Rattus norvegicus: one gene and its partner. The protein of the gene in region 1 purifies or fractionates together with the protein of each later gene. This does not show direct contact. Links are inferred from orthologs where the notes say so. Each region holds a gene or a part of one and is shown on either strand. Other genes may lie near its edges.

The links.
Region 2: the proteins of Nufip1 (region 1) and Znhit6 purify together in Homo sapiens (affinity purification with western blotting; 3 studies listed by BioGRID and IntAct, with this or other methods). This does not show direct contact. The link is inferred for Rattus norvegicus from reciprocal best matches to the Homo sapiens genes NUFIP1 and ZNHIT6.

What each region holds. Positions count from the first base shown.
Region 1 is NC_086033.1:57,837,672-57,841,937, reverse strand, and holds the start of Nufip1 (FMR1-interacting protein NUFIP1), read right to left. Parts: upstream 3,075-4,266; 5' UTR 3,072-3,074; coding exon 2,678-3,071; intron 2,083-2,677; coding exon 2,003-2,082; intron 198-2,002; coding exon 99-197; intron 1-98. Other genes in the region: Gpalpp1 (GPALPP motifs-containing protein 1), read left to right, coding at 3,298-3,385. UniProt on the Homo sapiens protein: Binds RNA.
Region 2 is NC_086020.1:237,164,009-237,167,824, reverse strand, and holds part of Znhit6 (box C/D snoRNA protein 1), read right to left. Parts: intron 3,122-3,816; coding exon 3,041-3,121; intron 1,570-3,040; coding exon 1,492-1,569; intron 1-1,491. UniProt on the Homo sapiens protein: Required for box C/D snoRNAs accumulation involved in snoRNA processing, snoRNA transport to the nucleolus and ribosome biogenesis.

The DNA of each region.
Region 1 (4,266 bases):
TATAAAAACTAACTTATGAAGAAAGTAAGTTTGGCTTTTACCAAAAATACCATTAAAGGCCATTTCTCTATCAGTTCAGAACAACCAGGAAAACCTACTTTTTTATGTTCAGACATGTGTATATCGTACTTTTCTTGATTTTTAAAGCCTCGATCACAGGTATCACAGAAAAAGTGGAAAACCGGTTCCTTTCTTTTCTGCAAGGCAAAAGAAGCAGTAAGACTTCTTGGGTAATCTCTTAACCAAACACAACTATTCCAAGAAGACATATTTGATTTGTTTTAAAACACACTCCTAGGGTTGGGGATTTAGCTCAGTGGTAGAGCACTTGCTTAGCAAGCTCAAGGCCCTGGGTTCGGTCCTCAGCTCCGGAAAAAAAACACTCCTGGGGTGGGATGACTTCCTCTATTTATCAATATAGCAAAAGTCAGGCACAATGAGCAAAATTTAAATCTAAAAAGAGTAAATGCAAACTGTAGATTTCAAGCTGGAGACCGTTACGAAGATCTGATACTGACCTGTTAGTTCTACAAATACCAAGCATCTTACAGAGGATATTACTATATGGAAACTGATCTCCATTTTCTAAGGGTTACGCTACTGTTAACATTAAATGGACTGTTAGTTGACATACTGTACTCTTGTAATATTAACAGTTCAAGTCACACAGTTTTCACAGTAAGAGAACACTAATTTCATGTTCTAAACATTAGTCAACTTACTCCAAACTAATTGTGAGACTTACACGGAAAAGAGGAAACCCAGCCTGTAAGTTAGGTTCAGGCCAGAATAAAGAAGACCCATTTTATGTAGCATTTTCTTGTGACGTATAACCAGGCATCGTTCCTCATTTGAAAAAACTGGTTCCAGGCCAGAGAGATGCCTCAGCGGGGAGAAGCACCTGCTGCCAAGCCTTCGGACCTGAGTTCAATCCCCAGGACCCATGGTAGGATAATTAACGCCTGCAAGTTATTTTCTTAACTCCTCACAGACACACCCACCCCCAACAAAAATAAATGTAAAATAAGAAAAAGGCCTTCATAACAATGACAAATGAAAAGATGGAATCCTTACAACCAGGACAAACAACACCAATAACACAATAAATCCTGCCTGAATTTAAGACATCCACACTATGTGGGTAATATAAACTCTCCTAAATTAAAAACATTAGATTATAGCTTGAGTTTAACAAGAAAAGAAAGGGGGTGGGGAGAGTTCTGCTTTTATATCACACATTCTTCTAAATTAAAAACAGCAAGATTGCCAGGATGGTGGCTCACACCTTTAATCCCAGCACTATGGAGGCAGAGGCAAGCTGAACCTGGTCTAAAAATTGAGTCCAAGACATCCAGGGCCCTGTTAAACAGAGAAACCCGGGTTTGAAAAATAAAATAAAAATTAAAAAGGCAAAAGATTGGTCAATACAATCTGTGCTTCCAACTCAGTTAAGGAAAACCTGGGACCTCCAGTCTTCTCCTAAAATTGCAGCTGTCAGTCCCAATCTTCGTAGTTTTGTAACAGTGGTTCTCAACCTTCCCAATGCTGTAGCCCTTTAATATATTCCTCATGCTGTGGTGACCCCAACCATAACATTACTTTCGTTGCCACTTTACAATTGTAATTTTGCTACTGTTATGAATCGTAATGCAAAATCTGATAGGCAGCACATCTGATCCACGACCCCTGTGAAAGGGACCTTCAACCCTAGGTTTTAAACTTTACCAGTTTCAACATTCACATATATTTGTAAGCATAATTCTCTACTATGCCTGTGTACCAAGACAGTTTTAATGTTCTCTTTCTTTTCTTATAATTTCATCATTTATTTTTCAGTGCTATTCTGTTTCAACATTTTACTTCCAACTAAGTTCCTTAAAAATACTACCCTAGTAAAGCTCTACATGTCCAAAACAGATGTAAAACACTGACAGTTACAACATAACAAACAAAGCAGTAAACAGTAAGATTCAAAATGCCACATTTATCATCCCCGAATTACCTTCTTTTTCTGTTTTCTGTTTTGAGGCAAATTGAAGTCATTGTAATTTGCATATGATTGTGGAAAATAAGAATGTGTAGCTAAAAAAGAGAAGAGAGTTTCATTTAAGATTGCAAATGTACAATTATTTATCACTTTTTTTTTTCTTAGATAAAAACAGAAAATGTGTAGGTAGCATGGAGTGCAGGTACCCTGAGAGGCCAGAAGACAGTTATCAGCTCCTTTGAAGTTGGAGTTACAGGCAGTTAAGAACCGCCCAGTGTGGGTATTGAGAACCAAGCTCCGGTCCTCTGCAAGAGCAATAGATTCTCTTCGTCGTCAACCCATTTCTCCACCTCTTATCAATCTCTTTCTAATGCATAATATAATCATTTCTTTCTAATACCCACTTTTATCTCCTGAATCCTGTCTCCCTACACTGAGGAGATAAGAAGCTCCCAAAAGGTAAGGATTTTTGCATGTTTTGTTGACTGCTATGTAAGTAGCCCCCAGTTTTATAGCTGGGTTGAATTAATAAATTTTGAATGACCCGGTGGAGGGAAACCTAGTGAGACACATTTTAAATACTCATTACCAGCCTCCAAAACTACAGCGCAAAGCTGCAAGATAAAAAGAGAAAGCTGGGAGAGAAAAGGAAGAGAAAGTAAAGAAGGACCATTATCAACAGCAGCTTACCCGGAGAGTGGAAGGACGTGTTATATGTGGGGAAACCATTAGGAGACAATCCCCAGTACCAAGGCGTCGAGGCTTGGAAATTCCAGGCCTGCTGGTCGTTGAACTGAGATTGACCATCTGGAGGGGCCTGGGCATCAAAAGGAGGCTGCGCCGCGGGAAGAATCTGAGCATCGAACGGGGGAAACGCTCCGGAGGTAGGCTGGGGCTCCACGTGGGGCTGTTCCTTCTGACACGGCTCCGTCCCCGCCACCGGGGACGACAGAGGAGGTGGTGGCGGCGGCAGCATGGCCCAGTACACCCAGTTGTCCTGAGGCGGCGCCGCTTCGCTCGGAGTCCCGGGCGCGGGAGTCAGTTCCGGGGCTGAAGGCCACCCGGCAGGAGTCGGCTCAGCCATGCCACCTAGAGCAAACAGCAAGCCCAAAGTGCAATTGTGGAACTAACATTAGACGTCACTTCCGTTACGACCATCTGTCAACGAGCCAATCGCGGGCTTACGTCATCAGACGAAGCCGGAAAAGTTTCCGGCCCTGGCTGTAAATCCTAGTCTACGGTCCAGCAGGCTGTGTTTAAACTGCGTGTGCAAGTGGGCTTGGGCTTTGAGCGACTGTGCGTTGCAGCGAATGGCTAGGGACCTGATCGGGCCGGCACTGCCGCCTGGCTTCAAGGAGCGCGCAACAGTTGAGGACCAGGAGCGGGACCCGAGCCCCGGTAAGCAGCAGCGGGCGTCAGCACTCGCGGGAAGGACTGGCAACCACCGCGGAGTTGGCGCGGTCCACCCTGAGGAGCAAGCTAGGCACGCAGGAGTGTTTGGGACCTGATCATCATTAGTTTGGGACCTGATCATCATTAAAATGACACCAGTCCCAATTTGCTATTAATGCGAACAGGACTGTGCTAACTGATCAATCTTCGTCCGGTCGTCTGTTTAACCCTTCCATCAACTGTATAAGAAAAGATGATGGAGAGTGCGTGTGTTACAAACGATGACAGCGGGTGGAGAATTTGTACCTAAGACACACAGCTAGTCAGTGGTGAAGTCCAAATTACAACCTAGTGTCTCTATACCTTCGGATTTAGAAGTCTCTCGCTGAAGATCCTGTGCCTCCCTCTCCCTAGCCTGACTTCCTGGCCTCATTCTAGCATTCCATCTCACACACGCAGCCCAGTGCTCACACAGTCCAGTGCTTTGACGATAGGCTTTTTTGGGCTGCTCTGGTTGTACTTAAACACCTGACAACTCTAAAACGTCCTTCAAATACCAGTTTAAGTGTTACCTTCCTGAGCATTGCCACCAACTGTATAAGAAAAGATGGATGGTGCATGTGTTACAAATGGTGACAGCTACTTTTAACTGTAGAGCTTTTCATAAGTGCCCTCAGGGTTCATCTTTGTAACATTCTTCGGAGTTTCCTTCTAGTGAGGACTCCTGGTCTAGACTTAAACTTTATCAGCCACATTTTACAGAGCAACAAAGTAACAGAGGCAAGCTAACTAACGGATGCAATCCATATAGTAGTAAGTGGCAGAGTACAGATTCAAAGCCAAAGACTCCAACTCCAAAGCTTGGAGCCTTTCCTTCCTTTGGGTTA
Region 2 (3,816 bases), on another chromosome or scaffold:
TCAGTCATATAACTAATAAAAACAGGCCGTTCTCTTAGGAAATTCAGTTGTAGCAAATGAGGTGTAAGCTCAGGCTCACTGCTGGGACCGACTGTCTAAGTCTTCCCAAGTTGACTGGTTCCAGACTGACCGTTCACTGACCTGCTCTCCGCCTCATGTCCTCTGACAAGCACTTCTGCTGCTCTTCTGTCTTCTACAGTTTGTCTTTGTTAACACAAACTTCTAGTGTTAAAATATTTACCATCAGCCCAGCCGTCTGTACTGTAGTCTTGAGTATCCTATAATTATCTTTTATCAAAAATACACTGACGTCCTTGAGTTTTGGATGTGAACACTGTGCCCAACAGGCAGATCTGACCAGTTTAATGAGCACTTCCTACCTTGGTTCACTGTCCACAGACCAAGCTACCATGGCTTAAATCCAAGCAGAATAAACCTCACCTTACAGTTAATGAAGGAAAATGGGAACAATATAGCAACCTAAACAAACCAAATAACCAATAAACAAACAAGCCCAGAATGCAAATAATTTCCTTTTGTTTTTTGACTGCATAAGAATGATCCGGGCTGCCTTCCCCAGGTCTGGTAAATTATCAGGCTACCTGAATAGGTATGTATAAGGTAACCACAACAAGTTCATACTAAAAATAACTAAAATGAATTATTATTTCACTTTTAAAAGTAATCTGGTGTCAGGTTCAAGTACTGATGCGAACAACAAGCAAACCATCTGTACAGTCCCTGAACGGTGATGTCTGCTTCTTGCAGTTACCTCAGATAGCACAACACCCCCCCCCCCCCATACTTTCTTTCCTTTCAATGCAGAAGATTAAAGCTAGAGATTTGAGGAACCAAGATGGCCAGCACTTTTACTATCACCCATCAGTAGCAGCCTAGCACAAGGAGTTGTTGCAGCTTAGTGGTGGAGAACTGGCTCCAGAAGTGATCTAGTCATTGATGAGCAAAGCCCAGTGATCCTTTCTCAGCTCATGGCTTGCCCGAATCCCTCTTTGTCTTTCTATGTGGCGGTCTTTCTAAGACAGCGTGTGCAGCAGTAGCCGCCTGATTATGTGAGTTTGAGCTTCCAAAACTATGAATGAACATCGGAACTCACATTCTTGAGATATGCGGGACTTTTTGGCTATTCCCGAGGATATGTTAAAATGCTCAGCCCAGCATGCTGGCACATACCTTTAATCACACCGCCCAGGAGACAGGCCAGTGGATCTCTGTGAGTTTGAGGCCAGCCTGGTCCAAGATCCAAGGCAGCCAGGACTACACAGAGAAATTCTGCCTTGAAAAGCCACAAAAACAGACAGGCGATTGCTATAAAACTTGTAAGTGTGGGATTATTTAGTATTTAAACTTGAAAGTGGTAAGTTTAGAGTTCTAGATTTTTGTTGACAGCAAAACAAATCAGTATAATAGTTAGCTACTTAACCCAATCAAGCTAGTTCATTACACATAGAGAAACAAGGGAAATCATTTTACCTTATCAAATTTTGTTGCATATTTTCGACCCTCATTAAAATTTGGACCCCAGTCTGGGACTGTGTGTAGGCTTTCAATCTGAAAGAAAACAATGCATGGAGGAAGCAAAATTAATTTTTTTCCAAAATTAATTTTTAATCTATTTCAAGATAGTCTTTATAGAGACTAAACACATTTATGAGTAGCTAATGTTTATAATTCGTTTATCCAAAAATTGAGAGAGAAAAAAAGATGTTTTCTAAGCAAGATGTAAAAGCAATACCTAGCTAGAGCTGGTTGCACATCTGAAGTCTACATGTGCCTAACACACTTGCACCAGCAGCCCGCTGCTCACAATACACTGCCTTCGCCTTAGTAACGAATGCTTCCCACCAACGCCAAGTATCTGAGCAAGGATAACCAGATTATCAGCTGATCATCTCAGAGCTGCCCCATAGACAAGGCTAGCCCCTGCACAGCCTGCAGGAGTCTGGCTGGCACTGTCTTCTTCAATAGTGAGAGACAACAGGATGACATCAGACACTCAGGGTCCACCTGGTGCAAACTTCAACCCTCTGGGAACCAAACCCGCACTCCCACCTCCAGAAGAAAGTCGCTCCACTCCTGCCCGGGAACACTGACAGGAGACCAACCCACTACCAAGCTTCACGTCTGAGCACTGCTGAGAGAATGCCAGGCCCTGAAGACCTGATACTTCTCTCTCTCACACTTCCTGACGTTTCCTTGGTATTATTCTAATTCCACTGATGGGGAAAGGAAAGCATGGTGGTGAAGCAGTCTGCTCTGACCACACAGTTCCCAAGAGGCAGACAAAGATAGCTATTTAATTTGTATATCCAGGATCAAACTGTCCACTAAGCTGTGCTAGCCACTTTTGACCATGCTGTAGTTCTGGAGGCAGAGTATAACCTTATTTAGTTCTTTGAGGACTTGGCTGAAATACAATTTCCTGTCTTTTTTAAACAGTTACTAGAAAAGCTTTAAGTTTTAGAATTTTTGGTTCAATGTGAACGGCAGTCTGGTCTAAAGCTGAGACTGCAGACTTCAGTCCCAAAAGGATCTGAATCCCAGCTTCCTTGCTTATTGGTTCATAGGGGGTTATTTAACCTACTTAAGGCTCAGTTTCTTCATCTGTAAAATGGGTATGAGTTAGTGTCTGACCACACAGAGCTGCTGCAACAGTTAAATGAATTCCAATACTATCTATCTGAGGAGTATTTGTGGTACAGTAAATGGCACTAGTTTTACAGTGACTGAACCACAGCAATTTCAACGACATATTTAAATATAGCCACAACTTCCTGTAACAAATACCACCTGAAAACAAATACCATCCAGCAAGATGACCCAGCAAGTAAGGATGCTTGTGGTGCGGCCTGGGGGTCTAAGTTCTAACTTGAGAGCCGCATGGTGAAGGAGAGAGGCATTCTCCGAAGCTTTCTGTACTCCATATGTGTTCTGAAGCAAGTGTGTGCAAAGTGCAGTCATACAACATTTTAAGTCAACATTTTAAATCTTGTCAGAAAGCTACAAGATTTTTGAAACATACCTCTGACGAATCACAGGATCAGACTTTTCGGGATCGATGTAAGGTTTTAGAATTTCATTAATGGTTTTATCATCTGGTACTCTTTCCAAGAGAGAAGAAAAATAGCTACATTATTACTTATAATTGCTACGAAGTGTTAACTTAAAATTACTGAATTTGGTGTAAAAACTGACAAGGACCCTTTAAGGACTCTTGGCAAGATATAGCATAAAACATTCTTTCATGATAAGTTTTTGTAGAAGGGAAGCACAGAAAAACTTCCTAGGAACAAAACTATAACAATAAATATAATGATAAAAATGATAGAGTCTTTAAAAATTTAGAAACCTCCTTATCAATCACTTATAAAAACATGAAGCTGCTTTTAATGGACATCTATGTTCAGACTTTAAAGATACATCTGAGGAATGCCCAGGCGGCTGCCATGCAGCCAGGGTTCCAGTCAGAGCCACAATCAGGCTTTAAAGAGGACACCAACTTCCCCGGAATGAGGCACTTTAGGTTTTCACACTTTCCTGTACATGCACACAGCTATAGTATCCATAAACACTGCGGAACACATTTAAGGCTCCTCTGAAACAGAAACTTATGCTCGCAACTTAACTCATGGAACCACTTCTGTCACACCCCTGTGTATTAGGCAAGACCAGTCCTGCCTTCTGCTGGGTAACACAATTCTATGCTAATTCCCCACGAGGATTCCAAAGACAGAATGCACAGTGGGGACGGATGCTGAGGACACTACCTAACTTCCACGCAGACCCACACAGCACATG